Linked DNA regions of Neurospora crassa OR74A. The protein of the gene in region 1 binds, or shares a complex with, the protein of each later gene. Links are inferred from orthologs where the notes say so. Each region holds a gene or a part of one and is shown on either strand. Other genes may lie near its edges.

Region 1 (10,807 bases):
CGCAGCTCCAAACTGCGCAGTCTCGCTACCCCGGCCGCCGCCGAATTCACACACTCGCCCGCTGGCAGAATGGCGCCGCACAAGAAGCACCTAGACGCCCACGGCCAGACCTTCCTTGCCCGAGCCTGTGCCAAGGGCGAATACAACGTCGCTAAGCAAAGGCTGCAGGAACGCCCTGAGGACATTGACGTTGCCGACTATGCGGGCAACACTCCCCTCCAGATCGCTGCAATTAACGGTTTTGACGATATTGTGAAACTCCTTGTCGAAGCTGGCTGTAACCTCGATTGCCTCAACAACGAAAAGGACACGCCGCTGATAGATGCAGTGGAGAATGGCCACTATGAGGTCGTCAAGATCCTGCTTGATGCCGGAGTGAACCCGCGCAAGGCCAACGCATATGGCGAGGAGCCTATTGACCGGGTTAATGAAGACCACGACAATGCCGACGATATCAAACGCGCCATCAACGAAGCAAAGCAGAGGATGGGTGAGCGTCGGCCGACCTCTGAAGACCACCATCTCGATCACGCCACGGATACACGCTCATCCCATGGTCCGGATAGTCCTCGGCAGTCACCTGCCTCCGCCTCCATCAACCCGTCTAGTGGACGACGTGCCGGTACCGTTCGCGCTACCAAGACCAGCAATCATCTACTTTACATGCCCATGGATGACAAGACGCTTCGTGCAGCCGCTGCTAAGGGAGACGAGGAGACAGTCCTACGGATTCTTCAGGTTAGGGACCAGTTCGACGATCCTGAGTCCATGGTGGCTGCAGCTCGTGGTGGTCACGATCTGGTAATGCAGTTGTTGTTGGCTATAGGCGGTGCAAACCCTGATCCACAACCCATTTCGACCAACGAATATTCGACACCCATTCTCGCCGCCATAGGTCAAGAAAACATCAAGGTCATCCGGCTGCTCCTGGACCAAGCCAATTTCGATCCCACCAAGAAGTACAAGGGGGAGACCTACTATGAGATTGCACGCAAGCGACGAGGTCCCAACTGGATGCAAGAGGAACATATGCTGAAGGAAGCATTCGACGAATATAAAAAGAAACCCAGTTCCAATGCCAAGAGCCAAAGACTGTCAAATTCCCGGGAGACGGACCGCGAGCCTAGGCGCACACGAACCGAGATCAAGGAAGATGCGTCCAAGTCCCATCGGAGAAAAGCTTCAAGCCCTGCTAAAGAAGCAAAGAAAACGGGACCCTCGAAAGTTCCAGCTAGTCCTCGGGAGAAGAGGCGTTCGGATTCCGTTGCCACTCACCAGGAAGATCAGACATCGCCCAAGCGCGGCCCTGGCCGGCCCAAGAAAGACGACAAGATTCCAACCATTGCCATTTCCGATCGCGAAGCATCACCCGCAGGAAGAGTCACTACCAAAGCCAAACGTGCAGATCATGATGTCGCCGCTGCATCATCCGAGGGAGAAACTCCAAAGCCGCGCCGGAAGCTGATTTCTGGCAGGGAGCTCAAGGGCGAGCGTGAGAAGCAGCGCCGCGCCTCTGTCACATCAAATGGCTCTTCGTTTAGAGATCAGCCGTCTAGTCCACGAGATGAGTGTGAAAAACCTCAGATGATGGAGAAGTATCATGACCGGACGAAGGCTATCAGAAGGGACGAGTCCCGTGATCGATCATCTGTTTCTGGTGAAAGTTCCGGCAAGCGACACCGGGCCAGTGCAACCCCGCCACACCCTGGGTCTACAGAGAAGGATCCCTCAGAAATTCCCTCTAAAAAGAGACGGTTGGACGTTGAAGGCAAGGACAGGCGTCTTAAGCCCAACTCAGCCGAGGATCGTCACCTAAAGCCTTCTGTGTCCAGGGAATCCAGTCTTGCTGCACCACCTGACGGCAGAGTCAGATCTCGCAGCAGAGATGACGAAGATAGGAGATCAACCTCAAAGCCCCGGAAGTCAGAATCCACCTCAGAGCATGTTCGCTTTGACTCCGGCAAGCCCACCATCCCCGAACCCAGCATCCACGTCAAATCCGAAGACGGGGAGGTGGAAATGGGAGACGCGGATCATGCCGCCCAGGAAGAATCAACACGGCAGATGCTTGAAAAGCGGAAACTCCAAGAAATAAGAAAGAAGCAAGCTGAAATGGAGTCAGAAGCTCGCGAATTGAAGAGGAAAGAGGAGGAGAGAAAGCGCAAAGACGAAGAGCGCGAGCGGAAACGCTTCGAGGACGAGTCCAGACGTGCTGCTCAAGAGGAGAGGCAACGCCTGGAAGAACTGCGAAAACAGCGACAAGCAGAAGAAGATCGGAAACGAAGAGAGGAGGAGGAGGAACGGAAACAGCGTGAAGAAGAGGAGGCTCGTGAACGCGAACGAGAACGTGAGAAAGAACGTGAGCGGAAGAGAAGGGAAGAGGAAGAGGAGCAGAAGAAGAAAGAGGCTGCGGAGAGGAAACGAAGGGAACAAGAGGAGGAGGAAAGGAAAAGACTGGAGCATGAAGAGAAGGTCCGGAGAGAAAGGCTTGAACGGGAAGCCGCTGATGAAGCACGCCGTAAGCGCGAGGAGGAACGTCGTAAGCGCGAGGAAGAGGAGCGCCAGGAAAAGGAACGTAGGGAGAAGGCGATGCGGGAAGAGGCGGAGCGCAAGCGTGTTGCTGCTCAGGAGGCAGAAGAGCGAAGAATACGCCACGAGCAGGAAGTCATTCGCATCGCCAATCTACCTCCTGCGCTTCGGTGGCTGGAAGGCGCAGCGAATCCCAGGATTCCACAGATTGCTGAAAAGTTTAGCATCATGCAGGGAGTTCGTTACGACTGCATCGATCCAGAGGCAACCGGGACGCCAGAAGGTAGAGAGCAGTGGTTGCTCAACACGCAGATTGCGCTGCTGTTGGGAGAGAAGGACCTGCGGCTCTCAAAATGTCAGTTTTCACCGTACTGGATTGAACATTGCTCCCAAATGCTGACTTTTGGGTGTAGACAACTCATGGACCAGGATACCGGCATCAAAGATTGCCAAGCGCGTGCTTTGGCAGCTTGAGTCGGATCGCTATGCGCTGACATCCCCGAATCTTTACGACCTCGGCAAAGAGCTCCCTGGATACTACGGTACCGACGACACGGATAGCATCGTCTACCGTGTGACGCAAAAGCTCCGAAGTGCTGCCTGGGAGAAATTTGCTGCTTTGGAAATGTTCTTTGTCAAGGTATGCGTCCGTCAGATTTCCACGCCTTATACGTTATGGCGTATCAACTAACATTTCTCACGAGGCCTCTGACTTTTTGCGTATCATCCCTACGATGCCTCACCTGCGGGACATTCGGCTTGTGATGGCCTATCGCGAGCTTCCGGAGAATGAAACATACTTCAGAGACTTCCGACCCTTGGAAAAGTGGAAGAAGGACCCGGATGCGGGCCGAAATCATGGCTTTGCACCCGGCAGCAAATACTTTGTCAACGGCCAGTTCATCTGGGAGGAGAGGCCGAAGGTTGGTATGGTCAGCAAGATGCCTTTCGAGGAAGAGAGGGTTCCCCGCCGCGGCCTAGCACCCGTGAGGCCAGATGACCCAGAGTACGCCGAACTTTGCAGAAAGCAAGGGCTTGGGCATTTGTTGGGCGAGGCCCAAGGCTCGCACGTCTTGCCCAATGGTCACCGGTCAGCATCGCCAATAAGCACGACCTCGTCTTCAAACCGCGTGAATGGAATCACATCGCCAAGGGCTAGGACTGTCAACGGGCACGCGCATGGGCATCACCCAATATCGCCATCATCGGAGACTGGACCCGCGCAAGCTCGTCCGCTGCTTAACGGCCATCATGAAATGCTTAGCGGCGATGAAGAGGATTGATGGGTTACGATGTGTGTCAAAAGTTATTACGATGTCAAGATGTACTGGGTTGTCAGGGACGAAATCAACTAGGAACGCCTTACGCTCAAATCTGAGAGCTTGGTTGGTTTGTGTATTGAACGAGGTTAACCAACGGGACAGGTCATGAGGAGGAGTCCAGCGGTCAATGTCAAGCAGATCACTTGGGTTAGTTGTGTGGAAAAGGATGAAGCGATGGGGGTGTCGGGGGTCATGTCATGTCGACCCAACTTTTGCAGATACCTTTAGCGTTCATGATACGGTATTATCGTGCTATCTTGTACAAACAGTCACATAGCCTTTGTCAGGTTTTGAAACCCGTAAATGCGGACGTCAGTCGAGAAGTAGACCAGGCGGGCATCATCATTATCATCATCATCATCATGACGAGTTCGGACTGAAGGGGGCATCGAATTCACAAAGCATCGAATTTGGAATGGACGGTGGTATGGATGGGATGGAGTTGTGGCGAATAGCTGTTGGTTAGGTCAGTGTTTGTTTGTTGGTTTCCATTAGTATAACTTGACGATAGTTAATGATGAAAGGAAAACAGACGGGTGAAAGTGCGAGTATCGATGACTGTGGTATCGTGTGTGTATCGAGTAAGAGAAGAGTAACCGGAACCAACCACCATGCGAGCGAAAGGTGAACTATACGGAAATTCTTTGCTACACGGCATGAAGTGGAAACAGCCCCGAGCGAAGAACTCCCGTCCGGTCGAGAAAGGGACGGCGTAATGGAGGGTCAGCCCGATGGTAGGCATGTGTACAGTACCGTAGATGATCAGGTACGGAGCTTTGGGGGAAGGATTAAGGAACATGGAATGGAACGCCGGCGCCAAGGCCAAGCCCGGCCGCCTAGGGGCGTTGACTCTTGAGGAAGGGAACCGAAAGGAACTTGGAGCTTCCGTGGGCCTGTGTGTGTGCACTGTCCGCAGGTCCGCCCGCGCTGCGGCGATTTTAACCGCATCGGCGCGGCGCTGAAACTATGAAATTTGCCCCACCTTCAAAATTCCCAAGAAACAATCAAGATCATCATCAACTTCCAGGTTGGAAAACACTGAACCGCGCTCTGTCCTGCCACGACCGAGCAATCATAGTCGCCAATCCATAATACAGATACGCCATCGTGTGAGAGCTAGCAATCATGTCGACCACGGTGGATAAGGTACGTATATCGCCCTCTCGCATTCCCCATTAGAGAACATGTTGGAACAAGGAACTAATGCGACCGCCGCACCATGACAGATCAAAGAGATCGAGGCCGAAGTGAGTTTTAACTGCCCCCGACAGCCCCCGATTTTCGATCTCTCCGAGCCCCGATGCGATACGACACCCCCGAGAGAGGACAGGAAGTTGGACAGGTCAGAGACCAAGATGCGCTGGCCCCCGCGACACAGATGCAGGCAGACACAGAGGCTGTTCAGGCCATGGCACTGGAGCTGGAGGCGCGCGACCTGGACGATGAGACACTACCAACGGATTCCCCCCTCGAAGATGAACGAAACGACGCAACAAGGACGGACCTCGGCTAACGATATGTTTCTTTCCCCCTTCGATAGATGGCCCGAACTCAAAAGAACAAGGCGACATCCTACCATATCGGACAGCTGAAGGCAAAGCTCGCCAAGCTCAAGCGTGAGCTGCTCACGCCCTCGGGCGGCGGCGGTGGCGGCGGTGGTGCTGGTTTCGACGTCGCCAGAACCGGTGTGGCCTCGATTGGTTTCATCGGTTTCCCCTCGGTCGGAAAGAGTACGCTGATGAGCAGACTGACGGGCCAGCACTCTGAGGCGGCCGCGTACGAGTTCACCACGCTTACGAGTGTGCCGGGTCAGGTTACCTACAACGGTGGGCAGCCCTTTTTCTTCATCTTCTCATCCTCCGGAGCGTTACAAACAAGGTCCAGGTTGAACTGACATTTTGCATACATACAGGTGCCCCACTACAAATCATCGATTTGCCTGGTATTATTGAGGGCGCCAAGGACGGCCGTGGTCGTGGTCGTCAGGTCATCGCCGTCGCCAAGACGTGCCATCTTATCTTCATCGTGCTGGACGTTAACAAGCCGCTGACGGACAAGCGCGTCATCGAGGCCGAGCTGGAGGGCTTCGGCATCCGCATCAACAAGGAGCCGCCCAACATCACGTTCAAGAAGAAGGACAAGGGTGGCCTGAACATCACCAGCACGGTACCGCTCACACACATCGACAACGACGAGATCCGCGCCGTCATGAGCGAGTACAAGATCTCGTCGGCCGATATCGCCATCCGCTGCGACGCCACTATTGATGATTTGATCGACGTGCTCGAGGCCAAGTCGCGCTCCTACATCCCTGTTATTTACGTCCTCAACAAGATCGACGCCATCAGTATCGAGGAGCTCGACTTGCTGTACCGTATTCCCAATTCGGTCCCCATCAGTTCTGAGCACGGCTGGAACATTGACGAGTTGATGGAGGCCATGTGGGAGAAGCTTAAGCTCGTGCGCGTGTATACCAAGCCGAAGGGCAAGATGCCGGATTATTCGGCTCCCGTTGTGTTGAGGAGCAATAGGTGCACGGTTGAGGATTTCGTAAGTTTTTTTTCTCTTTTGTTTTTGTTTTTTTCTCGTTTTCCTTTGTTTTGATGCACCTGATTGAGCAAAAGAAACATCTGGGGTGAGAATGAGGTGAGCTAACAGCTGATGAACCGCAGTGTAACACTATTCACAAAACCATCGTGGATCAGTTCAAGGTTGCTATTGTTTACGGCAAGTCCGTCAAGCATCAGCCTCAGCGTGTTGGTCTCAGCCACGAATTGGCTGATGAAGATATCGGTATGTCTTTGGATGTTTTTCTGCTGGAAGGGTTGTGACTAATGGATGAAAACAGTCACCATCGTCAAGCGATAAAGAATTTTCGTGGAGAGGATTCTTAAAGATGTGCTGTGGTTTTTACGAGACGAGACACTCACAATACGGACGGTGGCCCGGGTAACGCACGTACACTGACCGATACCTGATCGACAACGCACCTTCGAGCCGTACGCAGACTTTCATGTGGGCTCGATCGCTTGCTATGGCGCACGGTATGGTAAGTATAAACCAAGGGGTCGATAGAAGGAGCTTACTCGGTCTTTAAGTGCCGAACGGGAAGCCAAATTGCTTCTTCCACTACTATACGCGCGGTTGTCCATTGACACAAGTTGTGGACAATGTGAAGAGACCCGAGGCTGGTGAAAGTGTTAAAAAGGAGGGGAAGGGTCCGAGACGAATGAAGGGATCAAAAAGGCTGCTATATAGGATATTGGCTAGGATTAGATCTAGAGAGCCAAGGTCACGACGGTAATGAAATCACGTATATACCTACTTTTTTTTTAAAGGTTGAGATTACCCTGTATAAGACTGGGTTTCTGGTGCTGGCTACAGCCAGGCCCAAAAGATCACTTTCAGGCTTATGTTGATCATTGGGGGGGTGGGTAGAGGAGGGGGAGAGCGAGATGTCCTAGAAAATCCTGGAATGGTGACAAGGGCTGACTCTATAAAGACAAGTGACAGCTTTCCGTTACCCTTTTCCTTTTCTGTTTCAACTCATTTCCCATGCCCGTTCTCTATACGTTTTCCAAGAGTAATGAGATGGACGCTATTGTACAAACAAGACTGTGCGTACTTGGCTAATACAACACTTTTCCTGACTCTATCAGGTTACCTTCGTGGTTCTTCCGAGTGACTAAAGTTCGTCAGAAACGAACCACTAGGCAGAACAGCGAGTCTGGGTAATTTTTCCAACCTCTGCAAAACAGTCGTAACCGGATGTGCTCAAATGACCAATGGGCCGGATAACTTCTCAAGTCTTTTCTTTGTGCTGTGTTTGTGCCCACAATTAGCGTAACTTTTTACTTTATTTCATGTTTTTTTTCCCCCTCTTTTTCCCATTCTATGTATATATATCATATCACCATCCTCTGATCGTCATGAGAAGGTGGGTGGGGACCGGGAAGTGAAGAGTTCTAAGAAGTCATTGAGGAACCGAGGTCTAAGCATCTCTAAAAGCCTGCCAAGTCAAACGCGAGTTCTCTTGTGAACAAGTTGTAAGCAGATTGTTCGTTACCTTCTTGATGGTTTACAGAACGGTTTGATACATGTTTGTATCCAATTCTCACATGAATATCGATTCAAACACCAGAATGTGTCAATAACTGGCTCGCTAGTTTACCGGGAGATCGTACACGACCGTGTGTGTATGTCGGTTGATGTTGAGTGCATTTAGTTAGAGAATCTCAAGCCGATACTCCAACGTCTAACGTCATGCTGCCATTCTCTTGATAACTATTCCTAGTCAAACTAGTCGCAAGTTTTATGTACGTGTTGAAGTCGATCTTTCACCTTCCATGTCATCGACAAAACTCAGTTCGTGACACTCGAGCCTTCGTCCCCCGTTTCCTCTATAGTCGATGTTCTCTTTCAAGTTCCTTTGATATTTGTTCCATTCCCGTTTCATTCTCCCCCAACCCAACTCAAAGCAGAATCGTCCTGTCTCTCACCGCTCCTTCCCTCTTAATTCACTACGAGTCGACTCGATCTGTAGCTTCCCGCCATCATGATGGTACAAACATCTGTTTTCCTTGCAGGCAGTCTTCACGCACCTTCCCTGGCCTCTCAGTAACGTCAAACGTACCTCCCATTCGAGGGCATTGGTGGGCACGTGTTTCCCAAGTCTGTGAATTTGCTTCTTTCAAGAAAGAGTGCCACAGCAGTGTCACCTTTGCTTCCATCCTACCTCAAGTTACATGCTGATCTTCTCTCACTTGCTCTTTCCATATGATCAGCATGGGGTGAGTCATAAAGTGCAGGGTGCGTGCTAGCTTGGTGGGGGACGAAAAATCCTCGTCGTCCCTTCCCCAAATTCTTCACCGGGGTATTTGTGAGAGAAGCGAGGGAGCCGGACTTGGTGTCTAGATTGTGCAACGTATTGTATGGTTTAAGGTTGTGTTTGGGCGTTGTAATAAAGGTTTGATCCACAGAAAGAAAAGGACTCACTGTTTACTTCGAATGATACCCGCTGTGTGTTTGTGGCATGCCATTTGGGTTTGTATGAGTGTCAATGAGGGAGTGTCCACAGTACATGTTACGCCTCCCATCCATGCAAGATGCCGTGTTCAACATTAGCATCTGACCCATTCTAGCCCCCTGATGTATACGTGAGTGATTTTGCAGCGGACTTTGGTTGTGATTATCCAGTGATGATGATGATGATGATGATGATGATGATGATGATGTTGTTGTTGTCTGTTGTGTTTTCTTGTTCTCATGCCTTGCTGTGATATAGCCCAACTCGCTGTAAACTCACATGTTTGAGAAGTTCTCTCTCCTGGTAAAGCAAACCAACTGAAGAACTAACAGGTTTTCCAACTCTGAATGAAGACCAAGTGATTGATAAATGGCGCTGATCCCAAGTTGAACCGTGTCTCCCTTAAGCCATGGCGAGGATTCATCTCTTCCATTACACCCCACTGCACACTAGATTTTGCATGACGAAGATTGCGCGCGACAACATCACCATGTAACGATCATTTTGCTCTCCTTTCCAGCATGATGAACAGAGGTATTCATTCAAAGACTATACGCCACTACAGACGTTTATGCCTGTTCATGAAGATACTGGACTTATAGTCACCTAACGATAAAGACAATCATTACCATGTCATTCGCCCCAACTTGTTTACTCTTTGTAAGTTTTGGGTTTGTCTAGACATTCACGCAACCAAGCCTTCGCTCAACAAGGTGTCGTGGTGTTTGCCTCTACCCCTTGGGTATCTCACAACCTCATACCAAGATGTTGTTTCCGATGTTCAATGACCGTTTGAGAGTCATGTTGAAATTGTCTACACGATGATAAATCTGGCTTACAGGTTAGACCACTAAAGACCCTCAACGCAAAGCAAAGAAGGAAGTAAATTACGGGTTTGTCGATCAAGTCAAACTTCTCTGTACGTGATTGGCGTATTAACCACTCAGCCATTTGGGTTCATCAACTTCACAAGTCATCAGTCATCCTCAAATTATCAATGACACTCACTGACTGACACTGTAACCCTCTCTGTCTACATCTATCCTTGTACCAGTAGCCAGACAGAGCTAAAGAAAATGACTGTCAAGCTGCAATCTTCTCCAGTTTCCAATGGTCAGATCTGACGTCCCATCTCATCTCATAACCAGCTCTCGTATTGTAGCAAATTGGTTGATCATGATCCAGACTACATACAGAACTCCACCCCCCAACTTCGCAAACTCCCAGGGCACTCAGCAAGCGAGTATCACCCCAGTGTCCAGGTCTCATCTTCCCATTTCCTCACGTAGAAATCGGCGTTCTCGTTCCCGCTAGAAGTATCAATGTCGTTAACTGCACGGAATGTGAGTGGAATGTACCCGACTTGGGCTCTGGGATACTGTTGGCTTGTCACGAGCTTGCTCAACTTGGACCTCTCCCTAACTCCTTTTTTGTTGGTAGTTTGTAAGCAACAGAAACGCTGGTCAAACTGTGTTGTACAGAGAGAAGACTTGACTGCCGAAAAAGGGGCGGCGTGTAATGTGTATGTGTGTGTGTGTGTGTGTGTGTGTGTGTGTGTGTGTGCCACCCCCCTACCGTATGTTGTGCATGCATGTATAAAGGGGGGGATGTGTGTGTGTGTGGTGATGATAGTAACTGTGACACCACTTCCCAGTTCCAGCCGCATTATAGATTTGCTTTAGGGGTAAAAGGGGCAAGCGGACAGGTACGTAAACACAAGACCGATATCGCACGATTCAAAGTCATCAAGCGAACCAAACTGCGGCTCTTAGTGCGCTGGCGCTACAGCTCGTCTCCGTTGGCCTGAAATCCAGACCTAGTCACTGTTGCTTCGTCGAGAGTGGTTTGTTCCAACGAGGCAGTATTCCAGGTAGTATTGTCTATGCTGCCACTTAGTCTCGAAAGTTCCCTACTTGGACAGTATCGTGCC
Region 2 (11,071 bases), on another chromosome or scaffold:
CGTGGTGTGCAAGAACTGCGAGAGGAAGCTGAGGAAGATGGAGAAGAAGAAGAAGGATAAGGGAAAGGAGAAGGACAAATAGCAGAAGTGTGGTTGTAGTTCTACTGCCGTGTGTGAATGAGGAGGAACTACGGCTTGCTGAATCGCGGAGGAATGGCAGGAAAGGGTGCCCTCTTATCAGCACGTGAAGCACTGTTTACGTTCGTGGCAGAATTCGGGGCATTATGACATTAACTTCCGCCTTTTTCTTGCCCGGAAGCGCTCGAGGGTCCTCGATCCACGCTGATCTAGCTGCTTGAGCTTTCTCTTCTGGTCTTGGGATGCACAATTTACCCTCCGCAGGTGTAGCTCTCTGTAAAGTACAGAAAGGCAACGCCCTGCGCATGCTAGATTTGGTCGTGACTTGCGATGTGAAAAGGACCACTGTGGATATTGCTCCCGCTTCGCTGACATATATGTCCGTTGCGCTCCAACAATTTAGTAGCAGAGGCGAGCTATTTGTTCGAAATTATATTCATCGCCTTGGGGTACTGGGAGGGGAAGACGCTTAACAGGCGACCAAAGGATAAGTGACAAAGTGCTGATAACAACACCAAATTGTGACCCTTGGCCCTTTGGCAGACGTGTCCTGCCGCAATCCATCTTCCATCAGAGGGACCGTAAACGACAGGAGCGAGATGGTAGGTCGCGGCGAACCAGTCGCAGGTCATACAGCATTCGCTAATAGAATAATAGTGGAGAGGCGATAATTGAAGGTCGTCGTGAGTCTGGAGAAAATTTCATCAAGCTGTTGACCTAAGCTGTAGACCCTGCCCGAACCCGAAATAAAATAGTAAAACAATCATAGACAATCCGAAATCCGTCAAACAAAGTTGTCGCTGAAGCTGGCATTCGCTCTCATCGACTGTTGCTGTTCCTCATGCATACCCTTCGTTCAAAGAATCTCGTCCTCCATGGGAGCATCACCACCGTTGGCAGCGGCCGGCGCGGCTCCGGTGGCGTTGTCCGTGGTGCCACTCTCGAAGTAGTCAGCCATCTCAGAATCCAACTCCTCGACGGTCTTCTTGGCAGGGCGGGCGCTGCGAGGGCGACGGGGACCCTTCTTGCTGCCAGGCTTAGCAGCAGCAGCACCCTTGGGGGCGTTGGCGGCATGCTTGACAGTGGCGGCAGACTTGGGCTGGGCCTTGGGCTGTGTGATACGCTGAGTCAGGCTCTTGGGCTGAGGGATCAACTCGGCATTGGAAACAACGACCTCGACCTAGGGGAACGTTAGAAAAGCCAGAACCAGAAGATTCATACAATGGAGAATGAGCGTACCTTGACCGGGCGGTTGTCAATCAGGAGACCGTTGAGAGTGTTGTACGCCTTGGTAGCACCATCGGCGTGGTGGAAGGTAATATGAGCAATACCGCGGCTAGTGCCTCCGGGCCCATACGAAAGTTCCACCCTCTTGACCTGTCCAATAGCTTGCTGGAAGTATTCCTATCACAGGGTAATTCGTGGTTAGCGTCGTGCGCCAGTTTCAGTGTGGTCGTGTTCGTAACGGTTCGGTTTCAAATCGGTCAAAGCTAGGGCATTATCTCGAGCCGGCCCAAAACCAGGATATAGCCAGAGCAGCGCGCGTAATCTCCAGGTCAGCAACACCAGCAACTGGCAGGTGAGCCGAAAATCCAACACTCACTAGAGCCATCCATACGATCCGATGCGTCTGGGCCCACAGCCCGTAAAGCAGTAGGACGTGTGAAGGGATCCAGTTATGCCAGACAATCCAAGCATGGTCCAGTTGATGTGATGCCGTCCTCTCGTAGAATTCCCGAACAACCACGATGCTAGACCCCGGTTCCCCGGAGTTGTAAATCCCCTGATGGACCAAAACCCCCCAGAAATCGTCCAACCAGGACATGAGAAACAGAGCCTCGAACATCGCTCACTGCGTGGCGCGCTGGGGTGCAAAGATCGACTTCAAGGTGACCAGCCAGGAAGAGATGATGCATGACCCCCCAGCTAGGCTCCCATACAAGATTTGTCTGCCGGATCCTGCACTGCTTGTCCCTTTCCGAACCAGAGGCGCTTGCCAGCCACCACAATGATAAGGAGGGGAGAGCGTGACTGCGATCTGCTCAACTCGCAACATGACGAAATGTAATGACACACGTCAGGGAGGAGCAATCAACGGCAGTCTTGATGGCCTAGGGCCGATTTGCAATAAACGACCGTCCCGACCGCCCAGTGGAGAAAACGACGCCGATTGGATACGCCACGGAAGAGGGATGTCGATAAAAGTCCGAAGGCTAAATGGCCTCATCGGTAATAACATACCTTGATCTGGCCTTCGGAAACGTCCTTGGGCTGCGATGGGAGTTAGCGGTGAAGGATGCTACGCAGGAGAAAGCTGGAGGACGCGACTCACCAGGTTGCTCACGACAATCTTGCTCTCGCCGGTAAGACCAGCACTCTTTGCGGGCGCCGGCTTGGCAGCGTTGCGAGCGGGCTTTGTGTTCTTTTGGATACCGCCAGCGGGGGCAGCATTGGTGGGCTTACCGCCAGCCGAGCGGCGACCTCCACGGCCGCGGGCGTTGGACTTACCGCGGCGCTGAGTGGAGAGAATCTCGTCGAGAGACTGGTCGAGCTTTCCGGACATTATGGCGGTGGGTTGCTGGAAAGTGATTTAGAAGTGGTGAGAAAGACGAGACGCGTGGTCAAGGTGGCTTCAGAGATTAGGAAGCGCGGACGGGCTCAGATGCGCAGTAGAGCTGGCGAAGGTCGCGTTGGGCAGAAGAGTGATAGGGAGGTCAGGTTACGACTCGCTGGTAGCGCAAGGTCGCGTGAAGTCGAAGCGGAGCAAGGGTCGCGCTGCAACGGAAAAGGTGCAGCGACACTGTGATCTGATCGACTCGAATGGCAAGTGGAAATGGACGTGGTCAGGCTGACGAAGTTGGATGCAGTCCTGCGAGCAATGAAAAGAATATGGGTCTTGAGCGGATGGGCTGTATCGGTGATGGACTTTGGCTTTGGCGGTGATAGTAGGTTGTGTTGGGGAATAGGTGGTGTTGTTTGGGTGATAAAGTGGTGAATGGGCGAGAGAGGTGAACGAGGGGGGGGCGGAGGAGGGAGTAGAAACCGGTGTCCGCCCAGAATTTGAGGGAGAACCGACGGGGACCGGAGCCACCTCGCTGCGCTTTCGTCAAGGCTTGGCAGGCTGAGCAGGCTCCCGCCCATACACTACTAACTTGCGGCCACACGCGCCTGTCCTGAACAACATCCAACGTGACGGGATCCTTGCCGCACTGGCCACCCCACCGCTTTGGCTTCGCTCAGAAGGGGAAAGAACAGTCATGGCCAATCACAGCCTTGTGGCAATCGCTTTGGCTGATGGCACTCATTGGTACGCTAATCTCTTTGGGGCTAGACCCATCCCTCCTGACGCAGCTGGGCCGTTCTGTTATGGTACCGGTACCTGCGATGGCGGGACACATAGCCAACTCTCCGAGACGCGTCACCACTTTCAGGGACCCTTTGGAGCTGTGTGTCCTTGTTTATGGATGTTCTTATCCCACACACTCCAAGCTTCCACTTGCTTCTTCAGGGACGTTTGCAATTGAGCTCTTTCACAAGCGGAAACAAAGAACGACCCCTTTGCACATAACAAAAGAACAAACCATATTATTAGTCAGTCATGCTACCCAGAGCGCTTGGCACCCTTCTGCTACTTAACTGGTGACATGATACACCATGATCCGAACAAAAACTGAAATCCAGTGCAAGAGTCTGCTCCTATGCATTGGGTCAACCATGGGGTATCAACCGACTCTGACCCATTCAATCCTCCTCGGCCCGAAACCTCGTTACTTTCCTAATGCTATGTCCCTGTATTCCTTTTGTGATTCCGGGGTTCCCTTCCCTTGCATATCGGTTGCGCCCCAGACCAGCTCTGTCCTGCTCTGCCCTCAGTAGAAGAGAGTGTTCTGTAGGCCGTCTGTCTCCTGTCCTTCTCGGCCTCGCCCCAACCAGATGTCCCAAGGGCGGGACAAGCTGTATCGTGCCGTTTGTGAAATATAGTCTCTGTCTTCGTACCGTACAATTTTGCGGACGCTGTGTCCTATTTTGCCTTGGTCGGGGCCGATGCCACCTTTGTTGCCTTCTTCTCCTGGACAACATCGGTTTCGAGATCTTCGGCATTGGTTTCGAGGAAGTGGTGGAGAACAATAAGAACCATGGCCGCGCACCCGAGAACGATGGCGAGACGGTAAAGTTCGGCGTCAGAAATCATTGTGTCGTTGGCGTAGGAAAAGTCTGTGTTGGGTATTCGTTCGGTGCCGTAACTGGTAGCTGTAGACTTGTTGCGACTCGCAATGCTTGGAGGGGAGTTCAAGTGGGTCCAAAGGGCGCTGTTCTGCTGCTCAAAAAGCTGTCAATCAGACGGCTGGACAGAGACAAGAAAATGCCGTGCTCACTTTTTCTTGGTGATGCCAATCGCACTGGCTGTTCTGCGCCGGGAGGACCGCAAATTCGAAAGTGATGATGCCGATTGTCGGGTGTTATGGACAGCTTTCCACCTTGAGGGCCGCGACGCAGCATCGATGTATCGGTACATCTCCATCCGTTCATTTACAAGAGGATCCGATAGTCACGTGGACGGACCCAAGCTGAAGGAAGGACCTCTTCTTTCGTTAGGTATACCGGCTGCGCTGCCCGGACCAACGTCAGGGCTTCTGTGGGCGGACACCCCAGCGCTTTAAATCCCGGGCGGCGTCAGTGGGCCCATTCCACTTTGGTTAGAGTTGTTTCAACCCACCCACTTCGAATTGCCTCCAAGAAACTCTCCAGGAAGACTTGGTCGAGATCCCCGCCTTCGTCTGCAAATCTTTTGAAGGTCGCTGCGACAACACGCTCTATTTACAACCTACGCGCCGCCACCACCCCAGCTGCGACAGCGACTCGATATAACATACATACGTGATCCATTAACTTGCGCATCACGACACACACACACACACACACACACACACACACACACACAAACTCTACTCTCTGGTTCCCGATCGCGATATTTGCCCATCATGCCTCCCAAGAAGCAGGAACCGAAGGCCGCCGGCAAGAAGAAGGCTGTCGAAGACAAGACCTTCGGCATGAAGAACAAGAAGGGCTCTGCCGCCCAGAAGCAGATTGCCGCCCTGCAGGCCTCAATGAAGAACGGCGGAAACGCTGAGCAGAAACGCAAGGAAGCCGAGAAGGCGGCCCGTGAGCGCGAGAAGAAGGCGGCTGAGGATGCCAAGAGGGAGGCCGATCTGCTTCTCAACAAGCCCGCCCAGATCCAAAAGGTTCCCTTTGGTGTCGACCCCAAGACCGTTGTCTGCATTTTCTTCAAGAAGGGCAACTGCGAAAAGGGCAAGAAGTGCAAGTTTTCCCACGACCTGGAGCAAGAGCGCAAGGTCGAGAAGAGGAATCTGTACCAAGATACACGAGCAGAGGAGGACGACAAGAAGAAGCAAGAGACCTCGGCGGACTGGGACGAAGAAAAGCTGCGTTCCGTCGTCTTGTCGAAGAAGGGCAACCAGCGCACCACCACCGACAAGGTGTGCAAGTTCTTTATCGAAGCGATCGAGGAGGGCAAGTACGGTTGGTTCTGGATTTGCCCGAACGGAGGAGACAAGTGCATGTATAAGCATGCTCTGCCGCCTGGGTAAGTTGGGGGTTTGCACCATTAGCTTCTTCTCATAACTAACACCATCTCTGTAGGTTCGTTCTCAAGACCAAGGAGCAAAGGGCGGCTGAGAAGGCGCTGTTGGACAAGTCGCCTCTCAGGACCCTTACGCTCGAGGAGTTCCTCGAGTCCGAGAGGCACAAGCTCACCGGCACTCTCACCCCCGTAACACCCGAGAGTTTCGCCAAATGGAAGAAGGAGCGTCTCGACAAGAAGGCTGCCGAGGAGGCCGCAAGGAAGGCGAAGGAAGCGACCGGTCGTGCCTTGTTCGAAAGTGGCAACTGGAGAATGGAGGCCGATATCGATTCCGACGACGAGGGGGACGACGACGCCTGGAACTTGGAGAAGCTGCGGAAGGAGACCGAGGCCATCCAGATCAAGAAAGAGGAGGAACGACTGTCAGCTCTCCACGGTGTTCCTGTCACACTCGGCGAAGCGAAGGACGTCACCGGACTCAGCGAGCCAACGCTTGGTACATGAGGGCGTATCAGCACACGAGGAGAAAATACCAGCGCCGCCGCTTCAGAAAGTTTGTGCCATCCGAGAGTTCGGCACTTACTTGCGGCAAGGATCTGGCGCCAAGTTGATGAAGCTGCTCGAGTTGCTCGAGGCAGCTCGCTCAGAGGTTATCCGACATCTACATCACGATATATACACGAAGCTTCGAGGAGTGAAGCCGAGTTGCACCTCCACAAAGGAGCAGTGGGAATAATGTCGTCAGGTTTCGGTTTGGAAGCTCTGGTCATGAACTAGTCTAGCTCACACACATAATCATAGGCATGCCCGGATCCAGCACTTCGTTCCAAACTTCTTGCGTGTCTCACGTGTCTAGTCGCCTTCGCCACCAGCATTCATTATATGAACAGAGACGGACATAGGATAAATGGGTTCATCAGGACATGTCAGTTGTTATCTCCTTGATTCAGCAAGCCGTCCTTCTACCTGCACGTCCGTGACCCAGCTTGTTCGTCGGTGGTTCGTGGCTAAAGATTTCCTATCCAGAATGGGTTCAGTGTGACGGGACTGCAGCACATGATAAGGAATTCGAGGCATTGGTCTTGTACGTCGAGTTATTGATCCACGCATGGCTTGCAACCAATTTGTAGAAATACGGTGTGGCTGTCCGCAAAAACACTCACCACGACGCTTACGCAGTGACGGGGAAGGTAGACTTAAACCTAGAGCCACCCAAGTGTGGCCACATTGTCTTCAATGTGATGTTTGGGCAGCGAGCAGAAATTTGCTGTACATCGTTCACATGGACCGCCCAGGAAGATACAAGGGCGACGAACTGATACGTTTGATGTTTCGTTCAACACTAGTAGTCCCTTCTAGCAATTAGAACTAATGGGTGAACATTGGATTGCTTCTTGCACAGTCCAGTACTTGTCAGGTCTTCAAAAGCTAGTCAGACGGTCGGCGGTTTTGAAGACCTGGCGAGGAGGTACCATGAATCAGTCGTTGTTGTCCACACTTGTAGTTTCCTAAACTGCTTCAAAATGAACTCTTATACCGGATGGAAGGGAGTCTTGTAACATACACACTTAGTGAATGCAACCATAAACAGCGCTGCTTCCCCATGAATTCACCTCACTTACCTAATTTGAGGAAAGTTAACAAGTCCTCTGTAATTAATACTATGCACAGACCACTTTCTGAGCCGTGCGATTAGAAGTAATAGTTTCATTGCTAACATCACGTCCAGTCGCGTCAGTCCCTCATCAACCCACGCCCTCTCCTATAACCACAGGAAGCCGGCATTAGTTTGCCAAACCAGCCCTCTACACCAACCAAGATACTTAATATTTACTGGATGTTCTTTCAGTCCCCTAGTCAGGGACTTTCAAGTGGCATAACTCGTCAAATCATCAATCTCAGCAGTTAAAAAGGTGCGTTGAGATATTCTCACTTGTGGCAGATAATGCGACTAACTAGGCCCCAGATTCACTCTGTTGGATGACGACAATTTTCGTCCTCATCTCGCTTTAAATCTGAACTTGCTTTACTGCAAACTTGATCGAGGGAAAAGTGGAAAGGATGCCCTACGACCCGGACCTCTACCCGGATGACGACCCTATCGACAACTTCAATTATGATCCTAAGGACGATTATGATGAGCTGGGCGATGACTATGACCCGGATCTAGACCCAAACCAACAAGGGGATCACGAAGAGGACGTGGATGAGTTCTACGATGCAGAAGACGTGGAGGATGAACCATCACTACAAGCGCCCGTCAAAGTTCCCCAACATCCGAGGCGAGCTACGCTCTCGCCTTTGCAACCCTCAAGATCTGAGCGACATGCGACGCCAACATCGACATCTGTCCGCGATGGAACACCAAGGTCAGCTCGGGTCGCCGTCATGCTCCCGGTAAGCGTGAAGAAGGAGGCCTATATCAGTGTCCCAGATGTTGCATCAGACGAAGAGGAGGAGGAGGAGGAGAAGGAAAAAGAAGAAGATACAATGGTTGGCAGTTTCGTGACATCAGACCTGATGCCTCCCACTCCGAAGAGGCGAAAAATCACAGAGCGGCCATCGACGAAACCTACCCCCACTGTTCCCGCACCCAACTATGTGCCGCCGAAGGTTCAACCACCACCATTTCCGATACCAGATATTCCAGCACCAGTACCCCTGGTCAATCCAACAAAGAAACGAGGGCGGCCGTTCGGGTGGAGACCAGGCTTGTCCTATGCCGCAATGCGAGGAAATCCCGTGCCTCCCCCTAGACCCAAAGTTCCGAAACAACCCAAAGCGCCAAGCGAGGTCAAGCGCAGAGGCCGTCCACCCAAGAAGCCCCATGAGTTGCCTAGAGAAATTTTCTCCAAACTCACGCCCAGGTACATCCGCTTCCTCTGCGAATGGGAGGGATGCCCGGCCGAGCTGCACAACTTTGAGACTCTACGGAAACACGTTTTGGTCGTACACGGCGATTACAGACAACCTCACCAACACCATTTACTATCAGCAAGAGAACAACCACAAGAGCCCAAGACTTGCAAATGGGCTTCGTGCCACAGCAAGCGTCTCCAATCCGAGCTGCCACCTCTCACCCTACCCACCAGATCCCACTTCGAAGCCCACGTCAACGAAAGCCATCTGATACCTTTCCTCTGGCACGTCGGCGACGGCCCCCGCAACACCAGCATCGAGTCTCCCCTTTCCGAGAAGCCCCTGACCATAACATCGGCCCTCCCATCACAACCGTTATCGTCATCATCCATCTCTCACCTAGATGTTACCACCACCACTACCACCAACACCACCACCACTTCCACCGCCATCAAACTCCAACCACTACCACCCTACCTCTTCGACACCTCCGGCAACCAAGTAACCCCCTCCGTCCGCGACCAGCTTTACGAAAACGACGACGACAAACGCCGCCGCCGCGTGCGCCTGGAGCGAGTGCATTTCCTGAGAGACGAGAACGCAGCCCCGGAGCCAGTCTACACGCAAGCCGAGCGGGACGCGATGGAGGCGAGCTTGGCGGCCAAGAAGAAGAAGCAGGACGAGTTTTGGGAGTACTACGAGAAAGTGATGGGACCCGTGGTAGAGGTGACGGTGCTTGCAGCGGACCAGGAAGACCTGGAGGTCCCGGAGAATGCTTCTGGAAACCTAAGCAAGGAGGTTAAGAGGAAGATGTTGAGTTGTGGGTGGGATCCGCAGTGGAGGGGGTTGTACCAGGATTGATGTTTAAGCGGGAGGGCGAAGGGGGGATGAAGGATGGAAGGAGATGGGTGAATGTAGTTCTGGTTGCGTGTGTGTTGATGGGGTGGAAAGTGGTGGAAAAGGTAGGGGCATATTGTTTGTATACTTATGTACATTCACACCTTCTTAACATAGCAAGCGATACTCAAGTGCAGGGCTCCCAATGTTCGTAACATACCATAGGTTGCAGTAAGTTCTTGGTACTTTTTTTTTTTTGCCTTGATGTGAGTTGATATTCGCCTATAGATATATTTCGTGCTATTTGACAGCAAAGCTGGCTCTTGAATGATACGCAACCAGGGGTAAACTCCCCATGGGAGAGTGCCCAGGACTTGCATGAAAAGATGGACTTTGAGCGAAATGGAGCGGATGACGTTCTGGTTCACGGCCGAACACACTATTCAGCCACTAGACTACATCGAGACAATAATGTTACTTAGAGTAGACACAAAGCTGACCGAATCTCTTGCGTTGATGAATTTGCAACGTAAAATGAAACTCGAAGTACTTCCATGATGTCAATTCCGGAGAACCTTTTCAATTGTCGCAATTTTTACAATAGACTTATTAAGACGCTTGGTAGCGCTGGATATTTGTCTTTGCAATGTGACGCTTTGAAAGAGGTTTTTGGAGCGGGTACTTTGCGACAGTATGGAGATGCAGAGTGAAAAGCTTGGAGACTAGAGAGACATGTCGAAGATGAGGAAGAGCTAACTAGGTGAATTGGCCTATACCTCTATGCTTGGGTTCTTGACCTGGCTGGGACCTGGATATCAACCCCCACTCAGCGATGGGAATGTATCACGATACCAGTGCATGCGTACACTACATACACAGTCAGAGTCTAAACTAACTGGAAGGTGACAGACAGTAGACTGAGGAAACTTGATGAGTTTGGTCTTTCCGGGGTAGGCTTGGCTTCCCCAGCTTGACGGGGATCGGTCAACGTGGAACTTGAGGTTGGTTACTTGGCTATCTGGTTGCCTGCGTTAAACACCAATTCGGGTGATGAGTACCTAGGTAGTGTATAAACCTCGCTAAAAGCGACCAGATTTCGGACAGTAACTGCCGGGACGGGTTATGCTCCGAGCTGTCGCCAACGGGAAGTGCGCATATACTGGACCTATTAGATATTGTAATAAAAGAGGACTTCCATAGGTACTTGTCTCTGATGTCCCAGCCTTTCCATCATCCATCTGCAGGTCCTCGACAGCACTCGACAGTCTGGATCCATCAAAGACGTTGCCAAGCCCTGCGAGGTGTGGTGGACTGGTGGCGGCAAGACAGGGACCAAAGGATTGCGATCCAACAGAAACCAGTGTTTTTAGAGAAGGTAGTGTACGTAGAGACGGCTGGTACTGAGACATGATGCTCGGTACGCTAGGTGTTGCGAGGTTGCTTTACACGTCTTCGCTGCTGAGAGTTTGAAGCTGACCATGAGCCTCATGACGGGCCAGACGGGACGGGTTGGGGGTTTTGCCTTGCTGATAAATGCAGTTTTCAATGGATGACAGATGGCGTGCCATTGATGCCGAAATGACTGGACGAGAACCCTTCAACTTGGAAAGAAGGCGCAGTTCAAATGGTCGGGACTCCGATCGTTCTCATCGCTCCAGTCGGCGTGCGCCGGAAGGTCCCGTAACACTCCACCAA

What was found.
Region 2: the proteins of NCU00389 (region 1) and NCU01795 are in contact, whole or in part, in a crystal structure (PDB 4A9A), measured with the Saccharomyces cerevisiae proteins. The link is inferred for Neurospora crassa OR74A from reciprocal best matches to the Saccharomyces cerevisiae genes RBG1 and TMA46. Residues at the interface, in NP_009364.1 of Saccharomyces cerevisiae: Ser83, Lys84, Leu85, Thr86, Gly87, Thr88, Glu89, Val106, Ile107, Arg108, Tyr109, Lys110, Gly111, Lys113, Leu150, Val152, Pro155, Leu156, Lys159, Leu249, Ile252, Asp253, Ser254, Leu255, Ser256, Ile257, Glu258, Glu259, Leu260, Glu261; in NP_014734.2 of Saccharomyces cerevisiae: Gln217, Pro218, Lys219, Ile220, Thr221, Leu222, Glu223, Phe225, Ile226, Glu227, Glu229, Arg230, Leu233, Lys237, Leu238, Thr239, Pro240, Ile241, Thr242, Ile243, Asn245, Phe246, Trp249, Lys250, His253, Lys257, Lys269, Pro270, Thr271, Gly272.

What each region holds. Positions count from the first base shown.
Region 1 is NC_026503.1:3,677,009-3,687,815, forward strand, and holds NCU00389 (developmentally regulated GTP-binding protein 1), read left to right. Parts: upstream 1-4,829; 5' UTR 4,830-4,976; coding exon 4,977-4,997; intron 4,998-5,077; coding exon 5,078-5,098; intron 5,099-5,391; coding exon 5,392-5,677; intron 5,678-5,763; coding exon 5,764-6,401; intron 6,402-6,523; coding exon 6,524-6,644; intron 6,645-6,699; coding exon 6,700-6,719; 3' UTR 6,720-7,202; downstream 7,203-10,807. Other genes in the region: NCU00388 (hypothetical protein), read left to right, coding at 1-2,884, 2,943-3,169, 3,234-3,812. UniProt on the Saccharomyces cerevisiae protein: Involved in ribosomal function.
Region 2 is NC_026502.1:2,386,098-2,397,168, reverse strand, and holds NCU01795 (zinc finger containing protein), read left to right. Parts: upstream 1-4,724; 5' UTR 4,725-5,060; coding exon 5,061-5,683; intron 5,684-5,739; coding exon 5,740-6,184; 3' UTR 6,185-7,227; downstream 7,228-11,071. Other genes in the region: NCU16554 (hypothetical protein), read left to right, coding at 1-82; NCU01793 (RNA binding domain-containing protein), read right to left, coding at 935-1,258, 1,318-1,482, 2,320-2,349, 2,411-2,641; NCU01794 (hypothetical protein), read right to left, coding at 4,100-4,270; chap (CDP-2- and HDA-1 associating protein), read left to right, coding at 7,742-9,400; NCU16553 (hypothetical protein), read right to left, coding at 10,456-10,785.